3 linked regions of the Struthio camelus genome follow. The protein of the gene in region 1 purifies or fractionates together with the protein of each later gene. This does not show direct contact. Links are inferred from orthologs where the notes say so. Each region holds a gene or a part of one and is shown in the gene's direction. Other genes may lie near its edges.

Evidence for each region.
Region 2: the proteins of FTSJ3 (region 1) and NIFK fractionate together in Homo sapiens (co-fractionation; 3 studies listed by BioGRID, with this or other methods). This does not show direct contact. The link is inferred for Struthio camelus from reciprocal best matches to the Homo sapiens genes FTSJ3 and NIFK.
Region 3: the proteins of FTSJ3 (region 1) and RRS1 purify together in Homo sapiens (affinity purification with mass spectrometry; 3 studies listed by BioGRID and IntAct, counting the BioPlex papers as one, with this or other methods). This does not show direct contact. The link is inferred for Struthio camelus from reciprocal best matches to the Homo sapiens genes FTSJ3 and RRS1.

Annotation. Positions count from the first base shown.
Region 1 is NC_090966.1:2,767,940-2,775,283, reverse strand, and holds the start of FTSJ3 (pre-rRNA 2'-O-ribose RNA methyltransferase FTSJ3), read left to right. Parts: upstream 1-4,306; 5' UTR 4,307-4,387; intron 4,388-4,567; exon of another isoform or gene 4,568-4,714; intron 4,715-4,946; 5' UTR 4,947-5,006; coding exon 5,007-5,073; intron 5,074-5,159; coding exon 5,160-5,265; intron 5,266-5,980; coding exon 5,981-6,027; intron 6,028-6,242; coding exon 6,243-6,322; intron 6,323-6,567; coding exon 6,568-6,667; intron 6,668-6,839; coding exon 6,840-7,034; intron 7,035-7,129; coding exon 7,130-7,245; intron 7,246-7,344. Other genes in the region: PSMC5 (26S proteasome regulatory subunit 8), read right to left, coding at 103-213, 379-477, 600-790, 982-1,108, 1,762-1,992, 2,150-2,206, 2,576-2,673, 3,093-3,162 and 2 more.
Region 2 is NC_090947.1:33,017,810-33,025,648, reverse strand, and holds the start of NIFK (MKI67 FHA domain-interacting nucleolar phosphoprotein), read left to right. Parts: upstream 1-4,823; 5' UTR 4,824-4,923; coding exon 4,924-5,073; intron 5,074-5,170; coding exon 5,171-5,296; intron 5,297-6,347; coding exon 6,348-6,456; intron 6,457-7,183; coding exon 7,184-7,395; intron 7,396-7,839. Other genes in the region: TSN (translin), read right to left, coding at 4,094-4,187, 4,325-4,390.
Region 3 is NC_090943.1:132,526,544-132,533,165, reverse strand, and holds RRS1 (ribosome biogenesis regulatory protein homolog), read left to right. Parts: upstream 1-4,701; 5' UTR 4,702-4,784; coding exon 4,785-5,864; 3' UTR 5,865-6,031; downstream 6,032-6,622. UniProt on the Homo sapiens protein: Involved in ribosomal large subunit assembly. May regulate the localization of the 5S RNP/5S ribonucleoprotein particle to the nucleolus.

The DNA of each region.
Region 1 (7,344 bases):
CTAGACCCTGCACCCCCAGCAAGGGCCAAGAGGACACAGACTGGCTGCCAGGCCCCGACCCAGCCACCCCACTGCTGCTCATCTCTCAGACTCTGGGCTCACCTTCACCTCTGCACCTGATGCTCCTGGCATCAGCTCCGCAATCTTTCGCAAGTTGATGCCTCGTGTCAGGTTCATTTTCCGGGAGTGGATCTTGAGGATGTCCAAACGGGCCTGTAAGGACAGCAGCAGTGAGGCAAGGGTTGGAGCCCCCCCCCTCCCCCCCCAAATAAGCACAGGAGGAACTGCTCCCAGACAGAGCTGGGGACCCTGCTCTCCCCGCAGGGAGAGGGCCAGGACCACAGAGACATGGGACCTGCCATGGGACACCCCACCTACCTCTTCATTGGGAGGGGGGAACTCGATCTTCCTGTCGATGCGGCCAGGGCGCAGCAGAGCCGAGTCCAAGATGTCAATCCGATTTGTGGCCATGATCACCTGTACCAGGAGAGCAGCCACTGTCACCACTCTGGGCCCCCCACTGCTACCATGAGACCAGCACAACACTGCCCCTTTCCCCAGGCGGCTCAGGGCCCCACCAGGGACAGCAGCCCTCACACCTTGATATTTTTTGTGGCCTCAAAGCCATCAAGCTGATTGAGAAGCTCCAACATAGTACGCTGCACCTCACTGTCCCCGCCAGAGCCACCTTCCAAGCGGGAGGAGCCAATTGAGTCAATCTCATCCATGAAGATGATGGATGGGGCATGTTCCCGGGCCATCACAAAGAGCTCCCGCACCATGCGAGCACCTGTAGAGAGCAGAGAGGGTCAAGACCTGGCACTGCACAGAGCCTGGTGCACCCATGGTGTCTCTGAGCAACCCAGGACACCACACAAGAGGCACTCAGCCCCTCGAGGCCACACAGCACCACATTGGCACCCTTTCCAGGGCTCAGACTGATGTTGATGCACACAGCAGCCTCCCCCTGCATGCTTTTACCTTCGCCAATGAACTTCTGCACCAGCTCGGAGCCTGAGACACGGATGAAGGTGCAGTCAGTGTGGTGGGCCACAGCCCTGGCCAGCAGAGTCTTGCCTGTACCAGGGGGTCCATAGAGCAGCACACCCTGCAACGGTCACGCGGTTGCCTTAGCACTGCTGCCAGGCAGGGCCTCAGCAACCCTCCGTCAGTACCTGCACGGGCAGGGACACCCCAGGGCAGCCCAGGCACTGCCACAGCTTTCATTCCCACATGCTCACAGGCCCTGTTTGCCCCTGGGGAAGTGACACAGCTAGGGTGGGGGGACAAGGGAAAAATCTTTCTAGCAGCTAGTGCCACCAGGCCCTTTGCATTTGGGCAGAGCTCCCTGCCACCATGCATGCAAGCTGGGGGAAAGCTCCAGTCCAGGGGCCTCTGAAGGTGATCCTGGGACAGGAAAGCCCCCTCTCCTCTGCCCCCAAGGTAGAGCCACAGACAGGGAGAGCAAATATCCTCACCAGGGCAGCAGCACTTACTGTCCCACATCCCTTCTCTCCTTCACAAAGTGGAACGCAGCACCCGAGAAGCTACGAGACCCCAGAGCTACCTCTCCTTCCCACTAGCCCAAACAACCTCAACAAAAAGGAGCAGGTGATGCACAGCAACCCTGGGCAGCGAGGGGCAGGATCGCAGCATTGCAGTGCCACTGCAGCAGCAGCCACAGCAGCACCCCAGGGTGCTCATCCCCTTGTGGTCACCAGCAGCCCCTAATCACACCAGGCCCAGGTGGACAGCACTTGCCTTAGGCTGGGCAATCCCCAGGGCCTCAAAGAGCTCTGGGTGTTTGACTGGCAGCTCGATTACTTCCTTGATCTCCTTTATCTGCTTGTCCAAACCTCCGATCATCTCGTAAGTGGAATCCGGGACCTTTTCCACCATCATCAGGGACACAAGAGGGTCCACTTTGTTGGGCAGGATCTTGTGCAGTGTGTAGCTGTCATTGCGCAGGGCCACGCGGCAGTTTGGGGTCACCTACGCCAAGATCAGAGGGGAACTTAGCACCTGGCCCTGATACAGCCCTTCTGAGCCACCCCAGGCTGAGGAATGCAGCAGGCAGCACGAGGCCACCCCAAGGGGAGCAATCTCCTTCCCCTCCCACCCACGGCCCCCAGGACATCCCCACACTCACATCATTAATGTCAATGTTCTTGTCGACATCCACCACAAACTTCCCTTCCGGGTGCACCTGAAACATGGCAGTTGCCACCATGAGTTATTTCTCTACCTGAAACGTCCCCAGTCGTGTGTCCAGTACCCATACTGGCTTCTCAGAGGGGGAAGGAGGAGCCAGGCAGCTCAGCCACCAACACAAACCTTGCAGCTCCACCTGCCCCCAGTAACCCCTGAGCCAGGTGCTTCCCACCTGCTTGGGGAAGGTTGGGGCTCACGAGAGGTGCTACAAGGTGCTCCTCTAGATACAGCTCTCGCTTCACATTTCTTCCTTGTCACATCCCTCCCAGAACTTGTGCTATCACATCTGCCCTCCAACCCTCTCCTTGTGCAAGGATGAGGAAAGACTCTGTCCTTCTCCAACCCGCTCACCCCAGCTCTGTACCTTGACGAGCACTTTCTTCTTGTCCATGGCTCTCACCACCTCCCCCACGTAGGAGCCCTGCTCCTGCAGCAACTGCAGCTCCTCTCGCAGCAGGCGCACTGTGAAGAGGGAGGGAGACATCAGCAGCGCCGTTCTGCCCAGCTACAGGCATCAGCTCCCAGTGCAGTGAGAGGACACCCGGCCCCCAATGGAGGTGGCACACACACCCCACGCAGCCCTTCGGGGACATCTTGGGGATCAGTGCAGAGTCCTGCTCAGGAAAGGGACTCAGCTGGAACCAAGGGTACCCACCTTCCCTTAACTACAACAGCAAAGAAAAAAAAAACCCTCAAAAACAAAACATCTAGAGGATTTATGAAACTCAGAGCACATGTTCCTGCCTGGCAGGAGCTGGATCTTCCCAACAACAGCACTAGCCATGCTGGCCCATAGCTGGGTCCCAAGTCATCAGCCCAGCAACTAGGAGTGGCCACATCACTGCAGGAGATCAGGATGAGAAAAATGAAAAGAGCTGTACCTTTGGCATTCAACTCGTTTCTTTGAGCTTGCAAACGCCGCAGGTTCTGGCTCTTCTCATTGACGATGAGCTAGGTAAAAAGAAAGCTTAGCTAAGACTTCAGAATCCCATACAACATTCAAACTAACTGCACACCAAGTGCGTGCAACAGGCACTAGCTGAGCTGCAGCAGAACAGGCAGGAGCAGCTTTCATCCTGGGACAAGCACCTAGGACAGCACAGCCTTTCCAAACAGGACGTGACCAGCCAGGTTCCATTACCAAGGATTAGGCAATATCTCATACACACAAAGCAGCGATGACACTGGGTAGGACAGAAACACATCGTGGATGCCCGCATCGCCCAAAGGCTGGACTGATGGCCCTGCCTGTAGACACCGTCCTCACAAGTGCCTCCTCCTTGCACCCCAGGACAGGGCACCGGCAGCAAAAAAAGGCCTACAAAGCACTGCAGATGTTCTTAGCCTGAGGGTAGGCCTGGAGACAGAGATAGGCACCCTTGGCTGGAACCACAGAGACACCTGCCCAGAGCAGGCCGGGTGGCTGCACAGCTGGGGATGGCTCACCTGCAGCTCCTCGATCTTGGACAGGTAGTACTGTCGGAGTCCCGTGCCACCCTTCCCATCATCCATCTCCATCTGTGAGAGAACGGGACTCAGTGAGACGGGGTCCGGCCCCGCAGGCCTCCCGTTTCCCCCAGGGCCCCGCAATCCACCTCTACCTCCGGGTCAGCCCCCAGCAGCCCTCGGAGTCCGGGCTCCCCCGCGCACCTCCCCGGACCTGTCCCCAACGCCAGCCCCCAGAGTCCCCGTTCGCCCAGGGATCCGTGGATCCCTCGCTTCCCCTCATGCCCTTCGCTGCCCCAGGCCCCGGTCTGCCTCCGCGCCAAGGCTGAGACGAGTTCCGCCGAGTCACAGCGACCGCCAGGCCCCCGCCCGTTCTCAGCATGGCAAAGCAGCGTGGCCCGGGCACCCCCGGCCGCCAACAGCCCCCGACTCGGCCCGGCTCCAGCCTCACCTGCTCGGGCCCGTCCACCGCCATCTTCTCCGCCGGCATCGGGACACCGGCACCACCGCTGCCTGCACTAAAGATGGCTGCGGCGTCCCTTCCGCTGGCCCCCCCCCGCGCGAGGAGCGTGCTGGCGTCACTTCCTCCCTCCCCCAACAACACAGTAACAAACAGATTGCTCCAATCCCGAAGGATGTGAGAGCGCATGCGCACTCGAGTGCTGGCGGCGTGGAGAATGCGCGTGCGCAGAAATGGCCCCGCAAGCACGCTGCTTTTGTCGCCATCTTGGTAAGGTCAAACGTTATTCCTCTGTGTCACGAAACACTAGAGGGTGGTGAGTAGGCTGAAAACGCGCCTCCTAGAAGGTCTGTTCTCCCTCCCCCTTTCCCTGCGTGCGGCGTCCTGTCTTGCCGCTCGCAGCGGGGACTTGGTGCTGAGACAACATTCCCAAGATGGTGGCGAAGGGCGACCGGAAGCGGAAGTCACTCGCTAGTGGCAGCCCGAGGCGGTGGGGCGCGCACGCGGGAGCGCGGCGGTGTGGGGACTGGGCGGCGGAAGGGGGCACCGGAGCAGGCCGGGGGGGCACCAGGACGGGGAGGAGACCCCGAGGCCGCGGTAGGTCGGCGGGGCCGGGGAGCCGGGCGGGCAGCGGGGCCGGAGAAGGCGCTGAGGGGCTCCAGGGCCGGGGTAGGCCCTTGGGAGGGGAGGGGGGCACCGGGTTGGCGGACATCGGGCCGGGGTAGGTGTGGGCACCCCAGGGCCAGCGGGCGCCAGGGGCCGTGGGGGGACACCGGGTCGGTCCTCCTGGCCCTGCCGCCCCGAGCTCAGCCCGTTAGCCTCCCCGCAGGTCCGTGCGCAGAGGTGACCGTAGCTCCCAGCCCCACCGGGGTCCCGGCCTGACGCCACCATGGGCAAGAAGAGCAAAGTAGGCAAGAGTCGGCGGGACAAGTTCTACCACCTGGCCAAGGAGACGGGTAAGTGGAGCCTGCGCGCTGTCGGGAGGAGAGGAGCAAACCCATAACTCCCAGTAATCTGTAACCCCTCACTCTTCTTTCTGCAGGCTTTCGCTCCCGCTCCTCCTTCAAACTTCTCCAGCTCAATAGGAAGTTCCAATTCTTGCAAAAGGCCCGGGCACTGCTGGACCTATGTGCAGCCCCTGGTGGGTGGTGAGTGTCGCCAGGCCCGGAGCCATGGCCCAACATCTCCAGCTGCCCCACACCAGGCCTGGCTACCCCATGGGCCTCCCTCCTGGAGGTGCATGGGTGAGCCAGACTAGCCAGAGCCCAGAGGAACACGCTCGTTTGGCTCCGGTTTGAAAGCTGGTCTGCACAAGCTGCAGCTGGAGTTATACGTGCTCCACCTGCCCCAGATACCTTGTTGCTTTGGGGGAATTGATGAGAAACATGATTACTTCTTGTTGAAGCCGCTGAAATGCCCCCTACTGCCACGGGCTCTGAGCCATAAGCCAACAGGCATCTACTTGCAGGAGGCTCAGTGTCTGGGCTGTGTTTAAGTAGTGCAGACTGAAGTACTCTTTAGTGATCATTTTATTTGTGTGTGCTGTTAGTTGAGTAGCCCTAAGCCTTTGTGGCTCCCCCGCATGGCAAGATGGGGGCTATCCAAGTTATTCTATCTGGATAGCTAACCTATTCCTGACTCAAGGGTGCCTGTGAAAAAGGCTTTCACAAAGAAGGTAGGAGTCTGGTGATTTGGATAGCTGGGACCTTGTAGCGAACTGGCTTTTATACTTCCTGCCTAGGCAGTTCGTCTTGTTCCCTGTCGCAGATCCCAAGGCAGATCCCAAGCCTTAGGCAGCATGATTCAAGGTTGGTGGTTCTCATGGGATCCTGCCGTAGCTTTTACCCTCTCTGCTCTCTGCAGGTTACAGGTGGCTTCCAAATTCATGCCTGTTTCCAGCTTGATCATTGGTGAGTTGTGGGACCCTGCACTGAGCTGGAGCAGGGGTGGTCAAGGATGTCGTAGGGGAGACTTGGGGCAGGGACCACCTCCGCAGTCCCTGGATCTGACTTGAGGGATGGGGTGCTTTGGGGGCCCTGGTACACGGAAGGGGTGAGCTGGGAAGCCAGGCTGGAACCCAGGTTGGGGGGAAAATTTCGACGTTGACATCTCTTCCTTATACCAGGGGTGGACTTGGTCCCTATCAAACCCATTCCCAACGTGGTGACGCTGCAGGAGGACATCACCACTGAGAAGTGTCGCCAGGTAAAAACCACCCTGCTAAGTGTCATCTCTTGATCTGGGACTCAGCAGGTCTGTCTGGGCTGGAGGTCACCCTAGCTGCTTAGTCAGGGCTCATTTTGGGGGTAGGACTGGGGCAGGCAGCTGAACGGACTGTCTGGGTTGGCAGGCAGGTGGAAACGTGGGCTTTTGGGGACTGGAGATGCTACCTGCTGGCTTGTGCAGAATGACAGGGATTAGCAGGACTAACATGCACTTCTGACCCTCAGGCCCTGCGCAAGGAGCTGCAGACATGGAAGGTGGACGTGGTGCTGAATGATGGAGCACCCAACGTGGGGGCCAGCTGGGTGCACGACGCTTACTCCCAAGGTAGGGCCCTCGCGGGGCTGCTGTGTGGCCTAGGGCAGTTGCCAGGGGTTGCAAGGGCGGGTGCGTCTCATGCCCCAGCAGGGCACAGTGGATGGTGGCACATGTTGCGGAGCAAGGAGCTAGGTGATGGGGAGTTGACAACTCTGTTGACTGCTGCTTTCTCCCTCTTCAGCCAACCTGACTCTTATGGCCCTGAAACTCGCCTGCGAATTTCTCTGCAAAGGCGGCTGGTTCATCACCAAGGTTTTTCGCTCCCGGGACTACCAGCCTCTCCTCTGGATCTTCCAGCAGTTCTTCCGCAAGGTCCAAGCCACCAAGCCCCAAGCCTCCCGCAATGAGTCCGCTGAGATCTTCGTGGTGTGCCAGGGTGAGCAGCTGAGGATACTTGCAGCTGTTGGCAGCTTGGTGCACTGGGATAGGGCAGGGAGAAACCTGCTGAACTCTCCAATTCCCACATCACAGGTTATCAGGCTCCAGATAAAATTGACAGCAAGTTCTTTGACCCGAAATATGCCTTCAAGGAGGTGGAGGTTCAGACCAAGTCCGTGAGTGAGCTGCTGAGCAAGAAGAAACCAAAGGTATGAGGATGGTGCGTTCCTGGGGTAGACTAAGTGTCCCTCAGCAAAGAACGGACTCAAGGGAACAGCCATAGCCTGAGGGAGGGTCTGGCTCTGTGG
Region 2 (7,839 bases), on another chromosome or scaffold:
GTCTAAGGGGTTGTGAAAAGTAACTACAAGAAGCAAGTAGAGTGTTAGTAGACCTTGACTCGCTATACAGAGCAAACGCCTTTCCCGGTAAATGTTCAAGGGCCTGTAAACATAAAACAGTCGAGAACTATGGCAACAGATAACAGGGTGCCAGGGAAGGACTCAACGAGAGAAGTAACATGATTAAAGCAAGATGCTACAAAGCCATTCACGCAGCAGCATTCTGGAGCGGTAAAAGGCTATTACGTATGGCATTGGTAGAAGGAAGGAGGCAACAAAGATCAGGGCACAAGCTGATAAGAAAGTATGTTTAGAGTCTTAGTTGAGTGGATGGAGTAAAGAGAAAGGGAGGACTAGTTGGGTTTTAGGTGTTACAAAGAGAGAAACAGGACGATTCTGTCTCTAATAGCTCTGACGCAGCAGTTCAGAAGAGACAAAAGCAATGGCCAAATCACAAGCAATAGGACTGCACTGTGCACAGCAATCACTCCCCAAAAAGCGCAAACACGCAAAGCAGCACCAAACAGCTTAGGCAGTCAAAGGAAAAGTAACTTTTCTTTCTCTGTTTTAAAGTCTCATAATATTTTTTCTGAACAGGCAGAGTTAGGTTATGTGAGGTGCAACATCCCTCCAGGAAGCTACGTCTTAGTCTCCCTTTCAAGCAATCTGTTCGAAAGAACCAAGTTTTCGCCTGTTCACTGGATTAAACTCCTGCAGAGAAACGGTCTCGCTTGTTTATGTACCACCCACTGCCACCTCCTGTTCGCTAATAAGAATTACAGCCACGCTGTACCTGCAGAACCACAGCTTGCCAGAACTCATCAAATCAGTACTTTTTAACTGCAGCCTTCTCAGAAATCCTGGTCAAAACCCAAGAAAGGCAGGTGGTGAACATAATAGCATCTTCAGCATCTTGAAGTATAGAAGCTGTGGTTATTTAAATAGGATCCACATCAACTAAATAATCTGAAAGTCGCCATGGATGACTTATCAAATGACTCCTACCAGCAGTTTACTTTTTAAGTATCTGTTTAAAAACTTGTTTTAACTAATCAAACATCACCCTCAATCAGAAAAAAGGAGGTTAAAAATGAAAGTTTCAGGAAGCAGAAGGTGAAAGTGCTTCATATGGCAGCTAGAGTGAAAGCTCACTGAGAATTACTCTCTGAACATGGTCCCTCGAGCTGTCACAGGGCAACTGGGGACAGAACGAAGAGCACATTTGCACTTTGGCTTCTGTCAAACGAATCTGTGACAGAAAAGCAGCCTTTACTGTAAAGTTGCAGACAATGGTGCCTGATGACGCACAGACACAAACAAAATTCCCAACACCAAGCTATCCTTGTGCATCCTTACATATCATCACTGATGCGTTGCTAAGCATAACACAGTGTATTTCACGAGCTAAGGGTAAAGTCTATTACTGAGCACATGCAGAGAGGCAGTCGCCATGAAGTAGCTGTTGTCTGGGTGTAGGTGGTTGCCCTGCAGTACAAGAAGTCAGGGGGAAAACTCAATGGAAACAGGGTTAGCCAAGAGATATTTTAAGTGCCTAGAGAACAAAGGAAAGCCATTATGCAATATGATCTTATAAATATTACCCTTTGATACAGCAAAACACCCTCTATTAACCCATTCCAACCATCTTGTGGTTCTATTAAGAGAGCTCAAGCCATCCCTTAACCCTGCTCTTTGGTAGGACGGAGCCTGTTCTAAATCCTTTAACTTTTTTCACTGGCTCTCTGTTACCTCCCTTATTTTTTCATTGTTCTACCTCAATTATTGACGCAGGATTTAATCACAAAAGACAGAATAGTAAGCTACCACAGAAAGACAGTAATATCCCACTCATGCTGGCACAAGGAAGGAGGCACAATAAGGTGTACAATTTCTTTTGGCAGCAGCACCAGTTTAAACTGTTTATAGAAATACAGCTGCACTAACCAAGCATCATTATTTACTCTTCTGTCACCTGTAAACTTTTAATAACTGTATCAGTAGTTTTTCTTACATCTTAGAATAAATAAATGCAAGAGTGTACAAAACTTGATGCTGCAAAATTTAGCTAGAACTGTGTTGTAATGAATATGCCCTTCTTTCATAGTTTTAAGAATCATCAGCTATCCCTTTTTGACCTAGCCAAAAAAAAAAAACCATACAGGTTTTACACCATTCTAGTTTCTTAATGAAAATATTGTACTAAGTCAGCAGACAAAATGTCATACTAAGCCAAACAGACATTTAAGTGCACTACACTACAGCACCACAACTATTATCAAGTAAAAGTATAGTCTAAATACACATCATTTGACAAGTGCTAGTTTTCCCCATAAAGATTTCTGTGTTAATTGGTATTAAATTACTCTGCTATTAACCTTTATTAATCAAATCCTTTACTGACTTTTGTTATTTTGCTTGAAATTGATGTCAAACTGACAGGCCTATTATCGTATGTTAATTCCCACCCAGCCTATTAGACCTGCATTCATTATCTTTGATATTGCAAAAATTGTAAGCAGAGCAGTCTTCTTTTTGGTACTTAAACTATTCCACAGGTCTCTGCAAGATTCAGGACCAGCTCCCTCTTAAAATTAAATAATAAATCAACATACACGGAGGCAGATACAGGTCTCTACTAATACATACTGGGAAAAAAAAAAAAACCTAAAGATGGTACCATGCAAAATGATTGTCACAACATCCATGGTTTTACTCAGCTTTAGTCAAACATGCTTTACTTAGCATGTTTGACTAAATTAGCCAATTAGCAACTCTAATTTTTAGCACTGGTAGATTTCCTAAGCAGCAGGAAGTTATACTTGCCAGTGGAGGTCAAGTGTCAGATGCTGCACACTGCTAACCACATACCTAGTGGTTACCAAACAGGAGACTACAGAAATCGCAGGCCTCCAGCTGAAGCACAAAAGTAGTGGTGAGTGTCATCAGGCTGACAAACAACCAGCCAACACTCTAGATGAATAAAACAGGAACAGATGAAGGTTTTCTTTCTTTTCTTCACCTTCTGATGGTAGCCTGCCAGATTTCTTCTCTCCCCGAGTCCCTCTCAAGAGTTTCCAAAAGATCAGAATGGTTGTTTCTCCCCAGAAGTTCATTGACATGACTGAATGGCTTTTAAATCGCATACTGAAATAAGAAAGCTGCTTATTCCAATAGCTTCAGCACTAACTCTACAAATAGGGGGGACAAGGACAGCGCGTTCAGCATTCAAGTCTGTAGCTACATTTCATGCCCTTTGAGCAAACGGGTTGGCCCAGAAACATTACCTCGAACATGCTAAAAATTTCTGGCTCAAAAGTAAGGGAGCTACAGCTACAACTTGAACCTAAAAGCGACAGCACAATTCCAGTTGTCACTCAAGCATATGTCAAGGATTTCTCTTGCTTTACCAGCCTTTGTAATTTTCCTTTACGTTTTGGGAGTCAGGTATTAACTCAAAGTACAACTTTATATTCACATGTACCTGCATGCACGCATACACAAGTAAATGTAATACATAGCAGATTAAAGATGTCCCTTCCCACACTATCCTGCTCACTCCCCAGAGCATCACAGCTTTTTTGAGGGGTGGAGGAGGGTTGAGGAGGGGACTACAGATACAAAGGCCCATCAGGTTATATTACAGTTAGCAGGATATAAGAATCTACACGCATGCTAGTTAGAGCGAAACCTATGAGCCAATTCACCAACGCAGAAAATGAACAAGTGTAGCAACAACATACTTTTCCACACTAAGACAGTAAAACCTCGAGGAGGGAGGGAATCAGAACGGGGAGGAACGGCGTTGCCTGAGGCTGGATGGCAGCTTTTCTACTCATCTGGCTTGAAGGGCGCCGCTGCAGCCCGCACAGCAGCCTCTGAGGAATCCACCCTGGAAGACACCTCAGCAGGGCCTACGGGCAACTGGAAACGCGTGACCCTAACAGGGAACCCACGTCCCCTGCGTCCCGCGGAGGTTCCTCGCGGGAACGAAGAGGCTTACAGAGCAGCGCTCCCCAGGAACGACGTATTTTTGGCTCTCCCTAGGAAGGAGGCACTGCCGCACCGCGGCCTAAGGCGGCTCCGCCGCACTTACTGTCCTGGAAGCCGGCGCCCTGGTGAACGCCCTGCAGCAGCGTGAGGATCTCCCGAGCCGTCTGCTCCAGCGTCTGCACAACCTTCCGGATCTCCTGCGGACACAGGCCGCCGTGAGGGGACGGCATGGGATGGGACGGGACGCGACGGCACGGGAGGGGAAGCAGCGCCGCCCGCCCACTCACCCACCCGGCCCAGCCCGGCCGGGCCCCCGCCGCGGCCTCGCGCCCACCTCGCGGATGTCCTGGTCGGCGGTGAGGACGCCTTGCAGCGCGATGAACATGTCGCTCACCGACATGGTGCCGCCCAGCCGCGCCGCCGCCGCCGGCTCCCGCCTCAGGGGCCTCCCGTGCTGCCGGCGCCGCGCCGGGGCCTCCCGCGCTGCTGGCGCGGGGCTGCCCCACTCAGCGCCTGACGGCGGCTCGGGGCAGTGCGGGGCTGGCGTCACCGCGGGGCGGGGATCGGCCTCTTGGCGTCAGCGGAGGGCCGCACGCGAGGGGGCAGAGCCGGGCCGGGCCGGGCCGGGCAGGGCCGGGCGCCGCCGCCTCCGCGGGCGAAGGGCGAGAGGGCTCCGCGGCGAGCCCGGGCCCCGCCGCCGCCACCGCCCTCCCGCCCGGCGACGCGGCCCTGGCGGCCCCGCGCCGCGTTGCCAGGCGACGCTGTGCGGGTACGCTTGGCCGCGCCGTTGCTAGGAGACGGCGCGCGCGGTGGCCGCCCGCCCGTGCGGCTCCAGTGCGCAGGCGCGCGAGGCCGGGGAAGGCGGGGAGGGGTGTCGCGCGCGCAGCGCCGGTGACGCGTTTCCGGCGGCGTGCCCGCTGAGGCGATCGCGACATGGCGGCGGTTGAGGCGGCGGCGGTGGTGACGGCGGTCCCGGCCGAGGCCGAGGCGGTGACGGTGGCGCCGCTGCTGGCGCTGGAGCCGCGGCTGCAGCGCGAGTTCCAGCAGCAGGTGCAGCGGGTCCGGCAGAACCGGGCGGCCAAGGTGAGTGGGCCGGGGCGCGGGGCCCGGGGGCGCGAAGGCCGGGCCGGGCCGGGCGGGGGGGCTAACGCGGCTGACGCGTCATGCTGTGTGCCCGCAGGAGCGGCTGGTGGCGGGGACCGTGTACGTGGGGCACGTCCCGCGGGGGCTGGGCGAGCCCCAGCTCCGCGAGTACTTCGGCCAGTTCGGGACCGTCACGCGGCTCCGGCTCTCCAGGAGTAAGAAGGTAAAGCGGTGCCGCGCCGCGGGCCCTGCGGCCGCTGCCGGCGCCTCGCCCTCCCTCGCTAGGCTCAGGCCTCTCGCCGCGTTTCGGGAATCCGTTTCCTTGTGCCGGGAGGACGAATCGCTGTTGTCTCCCGGCTTGGCTGCTGTGACTGCCCCCTCTCCTTTTCGTCCCTTTTCTTCTAAAGAGCTGTTAAAGTGAGTTTAACTTTCCTTTTCGTCTTTCCTGCTGTTACTGCTTGTGAAGTGCCTGAGCTACAGCAGTACGTGTGCCGCTCGCTTTCGTAGAGTGAACCCTAAATCTGTTAGGGCTCTGAGACTTCTTGCTTACAGAAACTACTGACTTGGATAATGAGCAAAACTAACTGCTTTCGGAAGCTCCTTAAGCAGCTTATGCGTTTTTGGCCCTGCTGCTGTTCATCCGGCTTTGGTATGCAACACGTGGAAAGCTTCGTTGCAGTTTCAAGAGTGGGCGGCAGGGGGCCCCGCGCGTAATTTCTTATCCTGAAAATACTTCCAAAATGAAATAGAGGCTGATAGGCAGCATGTGAGGGATGATGGTCCCACAAATCAGCAGTTTCAGTGCCGGTAGATGTAGCCCCTTTCTTCACAAGTGAATGTGCTGAAGTTGGAAGTGTTGCCAGAATACTCTTAAGTGCAGAATGTGAAATGTCATGGAAAAGACTCTCTTTTAACATTTCGATTGCTTTGTGCTTGATAAATTTAACATCTACACATCTGTGGGTTTATCATCACGTTATAATATTATGTAAACTTGATAATAAAAATGAAAACAGCAAATGCAGGGCCTTTCTTTATATGTATTAAAATAGGATATTGGTGAGTGGTTTATTTCATGCACAGATATGTATTTACAAATACTCTCCTACAGATCTAGGACTAAATTTGGTGCTTTTCATGAATTCACTGAACTTTCTGAAATTACAGCTGTTTAGCTGAAAATAGGCCTTCCCTTCTGAAGCATAAAAAAATTGAATTTAGTTCTTCTGCTAGATATCTAAGTGTCACTTCAGATTTCCTCCTATTGCTTGCAGACTGGAGGTAGCAAAGGCTATGGATTTATTGAGTTCGAATCTGATGATGTGGCAAAGATTGTTGCAGAAACAATGAACAACTACCTCTTTGGAGAAAGACTTCTAAAGTGTAAGTATAACCCAAAGTCTGAATTGTCTAATGTGCAAAGGAAACTCATACTTGTGTTTTTTCTGAACTATCTGAAGATTCTTGTTTCTTTACGAAGCTTCAGCCCAAAAGAATTTTCTGTGTGGCTGAGCTTTTCTTGCTTTTCTTCATATGTAAAGTATATCATCATGAGCCTTTTATTTGCTACTACTTTCTTTTCTAGACTAATAATGGTTATTGTATAATAGCATCATACAAAATCGTAATGAGAGGAGATGTCTTCTATAGAGCAAATCTAATTCCTTTAATATGAAAATTCTTTTTAATTTATAACTCTGTTGCAGCTGCTTTCTGTGCAGCTAAATGCAAATAGCTTTTCTGGTTTAAAAATTAATGAAACGAACAAATGTCTCAAACACAATGATACTAAAACTTGCTTTGTAGAGCAGTGTGAGCTATATATGCTTACCAACTTGAGAAAATCAGGTTTGTCTTTTGACTGTTTTCTGGGTGAAACTGAAAATGCCTTTCTTTTTTTTTTTTTTTTTTTTCTTCCATGCATCCGTTATCGGTACTGTTACCAGCGAGTATTTAGTTACTTTCCGGTCTTTGTGATGGTAAAATTCTGTAATAGTGCTTTGCTGTAGTGGTGGATAATGTTATAGCAAGAACTGAGTAGCATCACGTGAGTATGTTCGGTGAGAAAAGTAGCTTTGCTATGATGTGACGTTATATGCTTTTGACACAGGTCAGTTCATACCTCCTGAAAGGGTCCACGAAAACCTTTTCAAAGACTGTGACAGAAAGTTTCAGAAGCCTTCTCAGCCAGCAGTCAGTCGTTACAATAGGATACGTTCCATCAGTGAGAAGGCAAAGATGGCAAGGCGACTACTACGGAAGGAGAAACTTTTACGGAAGAGACTGGCTGAAAAGGGGCTTGATTATGACTTCCCAGGATTTGTAAGTGTGGGATCACTGTAATGAGTGTTTAAGCAAAGCTTATTTTCTCAGGACTTGCTAAATACGAGAAAATCACATGGTTTATGTGTAGCTGATGTAAGAGTTGTATTGCATCTAGAGCAGTAGAGAGACCTCTTTGGATTAAGAACTGTACAGAAACTCTTGGAAACGTCAGTGTAGTGTTGCTGGGTTGTACTATATGCACATGTGGATTTACTTTTAGAGAAGTACCTTGCTTATGCTAATCAAGCATATCACTCATTTGCGGAGTGCTTGGTTGATATATTTTGGGCAACACTGTTTTCTCTTTGTGGTATTTTTGAAAGGCCCGGTGGCAGCTTTTCATATGTTGCTATAGATGTTTTTGTTCCAACCAGATCACCTCTCCAGCAGTATAGGTCACTTTTTATTAATTCAAATTAATTACTGTAGCACAGATTTTAT
Region 3 (6,622 bases), on another chromosome or scaffold:
TGATATTTTCAGTATTAAGGCCACGCTACAAGAAAACTTTCTCAAAAAAAAGGTCATCGTAAAGCTCATAAAATAGCAAAACATATCACCATCTGTTTTCAGCCTGATTCCCCAGTGCACAGCCAGATAGGCATCGTGCGCTTGGGAAGGCCTCAGATTAGCTTAGTTTACGTTTTGTTTACCCAAAATGAGTTCAGTGAAACCACACAGTCATAGCCAGTTAACTGATCAAAATAAATTACAGTCTACCAATCACCTTCCACAAGGTCTGTAGTCTTCCAGATCTGAATGCTGTCTCCCCAGCTATCTATGTTTTGGCTTCTGAACCAGAAATCAGACCCTACTCAGTATTTGCTTGTAATTGCATTTCCAGTTACTTAGTTCTAGGGTTTGGAACTATAGCTACAGCCTCCTGAGTTTCATCTTCAGGGTTTTTTTCTCAAATACAGAATTCTGCTAATACTGCAATAAATGTTGTCTAACCCTGCTCATCTACAACTCAGTCAGGAAAGTTTTTAAGCATGTGAGCAGAGTTAACATCATTAACATCAATGGAACAATCCACATGCTCAAAAATAAGTATATCCTTTAATGCGTTGTTAGGTTAAGGGCTTGCTTCAGTGAAGCCATGAGAAGGAATTACCTGCTGTCTGTAATACCTGCAGCCATAGTTCTTTCTTAAACAGCAAAAGCCATAACTAATAGGCATATTTGTTATATACTGCTGAAGTCAATGCCTGTAGTCATTAAAAGACTGTAGCACAAGCCTTTTTTATTTGTTTACTCCTGGCAGATAGTTTGTTCACAGCGAATAGGAACAGTGAATAGGAAAGCGTTTTCCATTAGCCAAATTATTTACCTACTAAGCTTTATTATTTGTACTGCAAAAACACCTGTATAGGACATAGATGTATGTTGTAACACTTTGGGATAAAAATGTATGGGGAATTTGTCCACAAGCTGTAGTACTAATTTTTACTTAATTTAGCTTCAGTGAGCAAACAGCTTTTTCCTTACTGGAAGAAATCCTACAATGTAGATTTTACTTCAAAGTGTTCTGAACAAAATCAGTGAAAAGGAATGATTTGGAGACAGTGTGGGTATTTTAAGGGCACTTTCTACTATTTTCCAAAATTACCAGCACTTTGGGTTTTCCTGATAGAAGTGTTCTTCATAATGATCCTCACAGCAGGCTTAAGAATGGATTGAATCATCTTCTAACTATATCTACTGCCATCCAGAGGTAATTGGCAAAAGTTTGAAGAGTAAATCTAAGCTAATGGTATCACAAAAGGTGAGACATGAATAGGGAATATTAGAACAATTCCTATTTTATACAGACTTAAAGTTGTAGCCCAGCCTAACAGAAACTAAAAAAAAAAATTTTTCTAATAGAAGAAGAAAAAAAAGAAACGTTACATCACTTTGACATTGTAGTTCATTTTGTGCATTAAATATATCCTGCATCATGCTTTCTATTCATCTTTTGGACAAGTATTTCTGCAAATTACATTACAAATTATATCTTAGGTTTTTCATGCAGAGTACGTGCTTTTCAAAAACCATTATGCAACCTTTGGTATTAAAGCAGCTCTTGAATCTAGCATGAGCGGTGGGCTTTTGATTGAAAACTGAGAGCGCTCATAATCTGAAGGATCACATCCCAGACTTTCAGATGTGACTAGCTAACATTGTTTAGGTGTCCAGATGTCAAGCAGTAGCCATATTTAAAAATCAGGCTTCATGTATGAGAACAGGATAGGATTTTCAGAGGAACCTGAAACTATTAACTCTAATTGATATTTCCAGGGTTCTTAAATCTACCGTGTCTCTTTAAAATTGAAGCTATAGTGATTCGGAAAGAATTGCAATGCAAAAGCACAACAAATTGTATTAAAAAGGATAATAGCACTCTTCATGCCAATGTACCCTCTATGTTCATCCTGGGGTTTTGTATCAGACCTATCATGTACTGAGGAACTAAGAAAAACGTATTGATCTGAAACATCCCCGTAACTTCAGGTAAGGAAAGCTGTGCAGCCACATGCATACTTCTGTACTACATCCTCAGGAGTGTGCATCATCCTTGAGGGTGCTAACTGCAATAAAAGCAATTACAGCTTTCTACCCCCAAGAAAGCCTGCACGTTGCCACAGCATCCAATTTCTGCCTGAGTTTCTCACAGTTCCGAGAGTTAGGAAACGCTAAGGAAGTAAGCATACGCACACACTCATGTGCGCATGCACACACACACAAGTTACAGATTACTATAATTCATGGTGAAGAGAGAGAGAAAACCAAAGGAAAGAGAGGGTAAGGCTGAAACTGTGCAAGTATCTATGAACTATAATGCCTCCAATCAGGGAAAACTCCCTTCAAGCGCCATGGCTGAGCACTCACAAATCCAGCCACAAGCACTTAGAGAAATGTGATACTTGAGATTCTGAAACTAGGAACCTAGAAGTGGAGAGGACCAAAATGAACAAACATTTCTAAAAATTCACCCTTAAAAAATCTGCTGCAAAAGCCTGTTAATAAAGCTTACACACATGCCTATTCACTTCAGGGAAGCTCTGTGCCTGCTTGTAATTCTCAGCTACAAACTGAGAGTTATAAATTCTAAGCATGACTAGGATTATTAAAGCGACCATCTCAGAAGCTGCTTCTCACCATCAGATAATTTCCTAAAATATGATTCCATTTACAAATTCTGTTTGGTTTACAAATCCACTCATATATTCCAACTGCCATCTTACCAAGCACATTCTGAAATCTCAACTCAATAATATCCTGTCAGCAGTAATGGTTTTGTAGTCAGATTTGAACAGCAGGCAATATTGCGCTGAGTAAACCTGGAGGAGGGTAGAAGCTTGTTTGCATTTTAATTTTTAACTTAGAAGCTCCATGCTATCGTGTGAAACATGAAGACCAATTCCTGGCATGCATTCCTTCTGTTATTCTGTCGATACAAAGTAATCATTAAATATCAAGCCAATTTTGTAAGTGTAATAAATTTTATCAATTATGTCCCTTCAATCCGAGTCATTTACCTGAAGACTGTTGGGCTTTGTACAAATATAAACCAAAAGAGCCCAAAGAGCTAGCTATCTAAGGATAAGATAGGACAGTACAGCGACCAAGGTATCAACCGACTGCCCCAACAGTGCCCCTTGCTTATGCAGTATAAAAGTATAAATATATGCCTGAACTTATTTGTGTCAAAAATAGTATATGTACATCTCTGAAAACTGTCTTTAATTTAATCTATAATTTCAGGTGAAAGTATGAGCTGTCCAGGAAAGTGAAGAAAGTAGTATGCAATGCAATGCCATCTTGTGGTAAACGGGAAAACTGTCTATGGCATCTAATTAGGTTTTAAATGCATAGGGAATTTGCTGCTCTGTAGTGCTTGAATCACACTCAGACCTGTTGGGTTGAAAAAAAAAACAAAAAAAAAAGATTCTATCATAATTATAATTATACAGTATAAGATGTGATATGCTAGGCAACAGATTCCAGGAATCAGTTTACAGGAGCAACATTTTATTTTCATTCTAAAAATACAGCTGTGACATTATACTCAGAATCATTTCCATCACCCCAGACACAAGTTAAGGGAGGGGACGTGTTTAACTCAGTAGCAAATTCTATCCAGTATAATAATTCCCGTGACTTTTTGTTGGCTGCAGCGAAGTCCTGTCATGAGCTTGTTTTTAGGGCACCAAAGATCAGCTCAAAACGTCATGACCATACGAGCCAAATCACTGCATGCTCTATTGCTGTAAAAGGATTCTGCCGTATCTCATTTGTTTAAAAATAGCACGGCAGTATCTTTGACCTGGCTGACTTTTTTGGTGCATGCGGTATCACCCGACGACCTCACTCATCGTGCCTGACGAGCCGTCTGAGGGGTGCTGCGGCTCTCCCCGCGCACCTCCTCTCCCCTTGGTGTCACAGGGCGGCCGGCGGCGGTCGCGAGGGAAGCAGCCTCGGCGCTGGGGTTGGGATCAGGCCACTCATTGCCTGGCCTAAGCTTTAGCAGTGACTTTGACACCTAAACGTTACGCTGCAATAAAAACAGAAAGGATATTTCCCCATGTCTCAGCCTTAACCTGCCGGATATTTGAGTGCTACCGCGCAACCCCTTACGCAGCAGCAGAAGGCGGCGAGGCCCAGTTTGCGTTCTGGGTGCTCTGCGTGCCCTGCTTTGGCCTCGTCTCCCTGCTGCAGGCAGCGAACGCGCTTTCGGCGTTGGCCTTCCTGTACACGCCAGCTCTCTTCACGCCCCTCCTGCCCCAGCCCCGCTCGCCAGCTGGGCCGAACCGGCCCAGGCAGCGTCTACCCCCAGCTAGCCAAGGGCAACCCGCGCCTGGCAACTTCACTGGGGATTTTTTGCGGGGAGGGCTGGACCACAAGTCATGTTGATCATTAAATAAGTGGGAGAAGAGCTGGAGACTTTCTGACAGGAGCAACGGGCCGCCCCGACGCAGCCCCACGGCCTGCGCGGAGACTACGGCTCCCAGAATGCAGCGCTGCCTCCTGCCCCTCCCAGAATGCCGCGCGCCGCCGCGGGCTGAGCGCCGGGCCAGCGCGCACTACAGCTCCCAGAAGACAATGCGCGCGGCCCGCCCCGCCCCGCCCCGCCCCTCCCTTTGTGGTTCCGCGCTCCCTTCTGACGTGCTTCCGGCGCGCTGACCCGGAACGGAGCTGGGTCACTTCCGGAGCCGGGCGGCGCGAGCTGTCCGCACGTGTCGGCGCGGCCCGGCCCGCTCCGCTCCGCCGCCATGGCGGCCGTGCGCGTGGAGGAGCTGCTGGCCGCGGCGGAGGAGCAGGAGGCGGAGAAGCAGCGGAGCATCGCGGTGCACAAGGAGCTGGAGCTGGAGTTCGACCTGGGCAACCTGCTGGCGCTGGACCGCAACCCGCCGGCGGCGGCGGGGCTGCGCGGGGCCGGCCCGCGGCGGGAGGCGCTGCTGCGGGCCCTGGCCCGCGACAACACGCAGCTGCTGGTGGCGCAGCTGTGGGCGCTGCCGGCCGAGCGCGCCGGCGGCGCGGCGGGGCCGCTGGTGGCGCAGCTGCCGGAGCCGGCCTTCCGCCTGCCGCGCGAGAAGCCGCCGCCGCGGCCGCGGCCGCCCACGCGCTGGGAGCAGTTCGCGCGGCTGAAGGGCATCCGCCGGCGGAAGCGCACCTCGCTGGTGTGGGACGAGCAGGCCAAGGAGTGGCGGCGGCGCTGGGGCTACCGGCGGGCGGGCGGCGACCCGGCCCGCGACTGGGCGGCGGAGGTGCCGGCGGGCGCCGACCCGGACGAGGACCAGTTGGCCAAGCGGCGGCGGGAGAAGCGGGAGCGCGTGGCGCGCAATGAGCTCAACCGCCTGCGCAACCTGGCGCGCGCCCACCGCGCCGCCGTGCCCGCTGCCCCGCTCCACCCCACGGGCCACCAGAGCCGCGCTGAGCTGGGCCACGCTGCCCGCGTCGCCCGCCTCTCCACCGCCTCGCTCGGCCGCTTTCAGCCGCGGCTGCCCAAGGAGCCAGCGGAGCCGCCTCCCCGTGGCGCCAAGAAGCGCCGTTTCGCGCCGCTGCTGGGTGACCTGGCGGCCGAGCGGAGCCAGCAGCTGGAGCTGCTGCGTGGCATGAGCAGCAAGAAGCCGCCCCTCGACATCACTCGTGCCGTCAACAAGCAGCTCCGCGAGGAGGATGCCGAGGCGGCTGCCGCCAAGGGCAAGAAGCGGGCGCAGCGGGGGAAGCGCGGTCGCCGGCAGCAGCAGCGGCCCGGCCACGGTGGCAAGAAGAGCGGCAGCAAGAAGAGTGGCGGCAAGCGGCAGCAGCGCCCTGTGGGCAGTGGTGGTGGCAAGAGGAAGAAAGCATGAGGTGGACTGGCACCCAGAGGGACAGAGTGGCCTGCAGGGCTGAGCACGACTCAGGGCCGGGGCTGCTCACCAAGGGGCAGGAAGGGACTGCTGCTGACAGCCTCCTGCCCAGTGCTCGGCTCTCACACCTATTTGTCAATAAATATGCTCTGGTCTTTCTAAAATCAGCATTTGGCTCTTGGATAGCAGTCAAGGAGGGCAGCGTCCCTCTTCTAAGAGGAGTTGGTGGTATATCACCAGAGTCAAGTTCCCCAGTTACCCCCAGGTTAGGGGCTTTAATGGGGGCAGCCAGATAGCTCCACAGCTGGCCCTGGCTGCAGCATTTTGAGACAGACCTCAGTCCCTGTGCAGTCAAGTTGCTCTTAAGTGAGAAACACCTAAGATTGGGGCATGGAACTCAACTCAAGGGCGGTAACTGGTATGTTAAGTGCTGGTGTGATCAAAGAGAAACGCAGTTAAAGGATGAGGTACTGCCTTTTGCTTTGCGCAGTTAAAGGATGAGGTACTGCCTTTTGCTTTGTGCTGCGGGTAGGTAGCCTGACTGTGGAGCTCCTGCTTTGCAAGTCATTGTCAACTCAGTGGTATTCAGGCTCGGTTGTGAGAGGAGGGGCATGAAAGCTATTCCTGTAAGACTTATTGCAGGGCCTGAGAGGTTACAAAGATTTTATAAACCTCTGCTGATTTAAAAAAAAAAAAAAAAAAAAAAGCTGTTGACCTGCCTTGAATTCAGCAGATAAATGTTCACATCACACAACAGG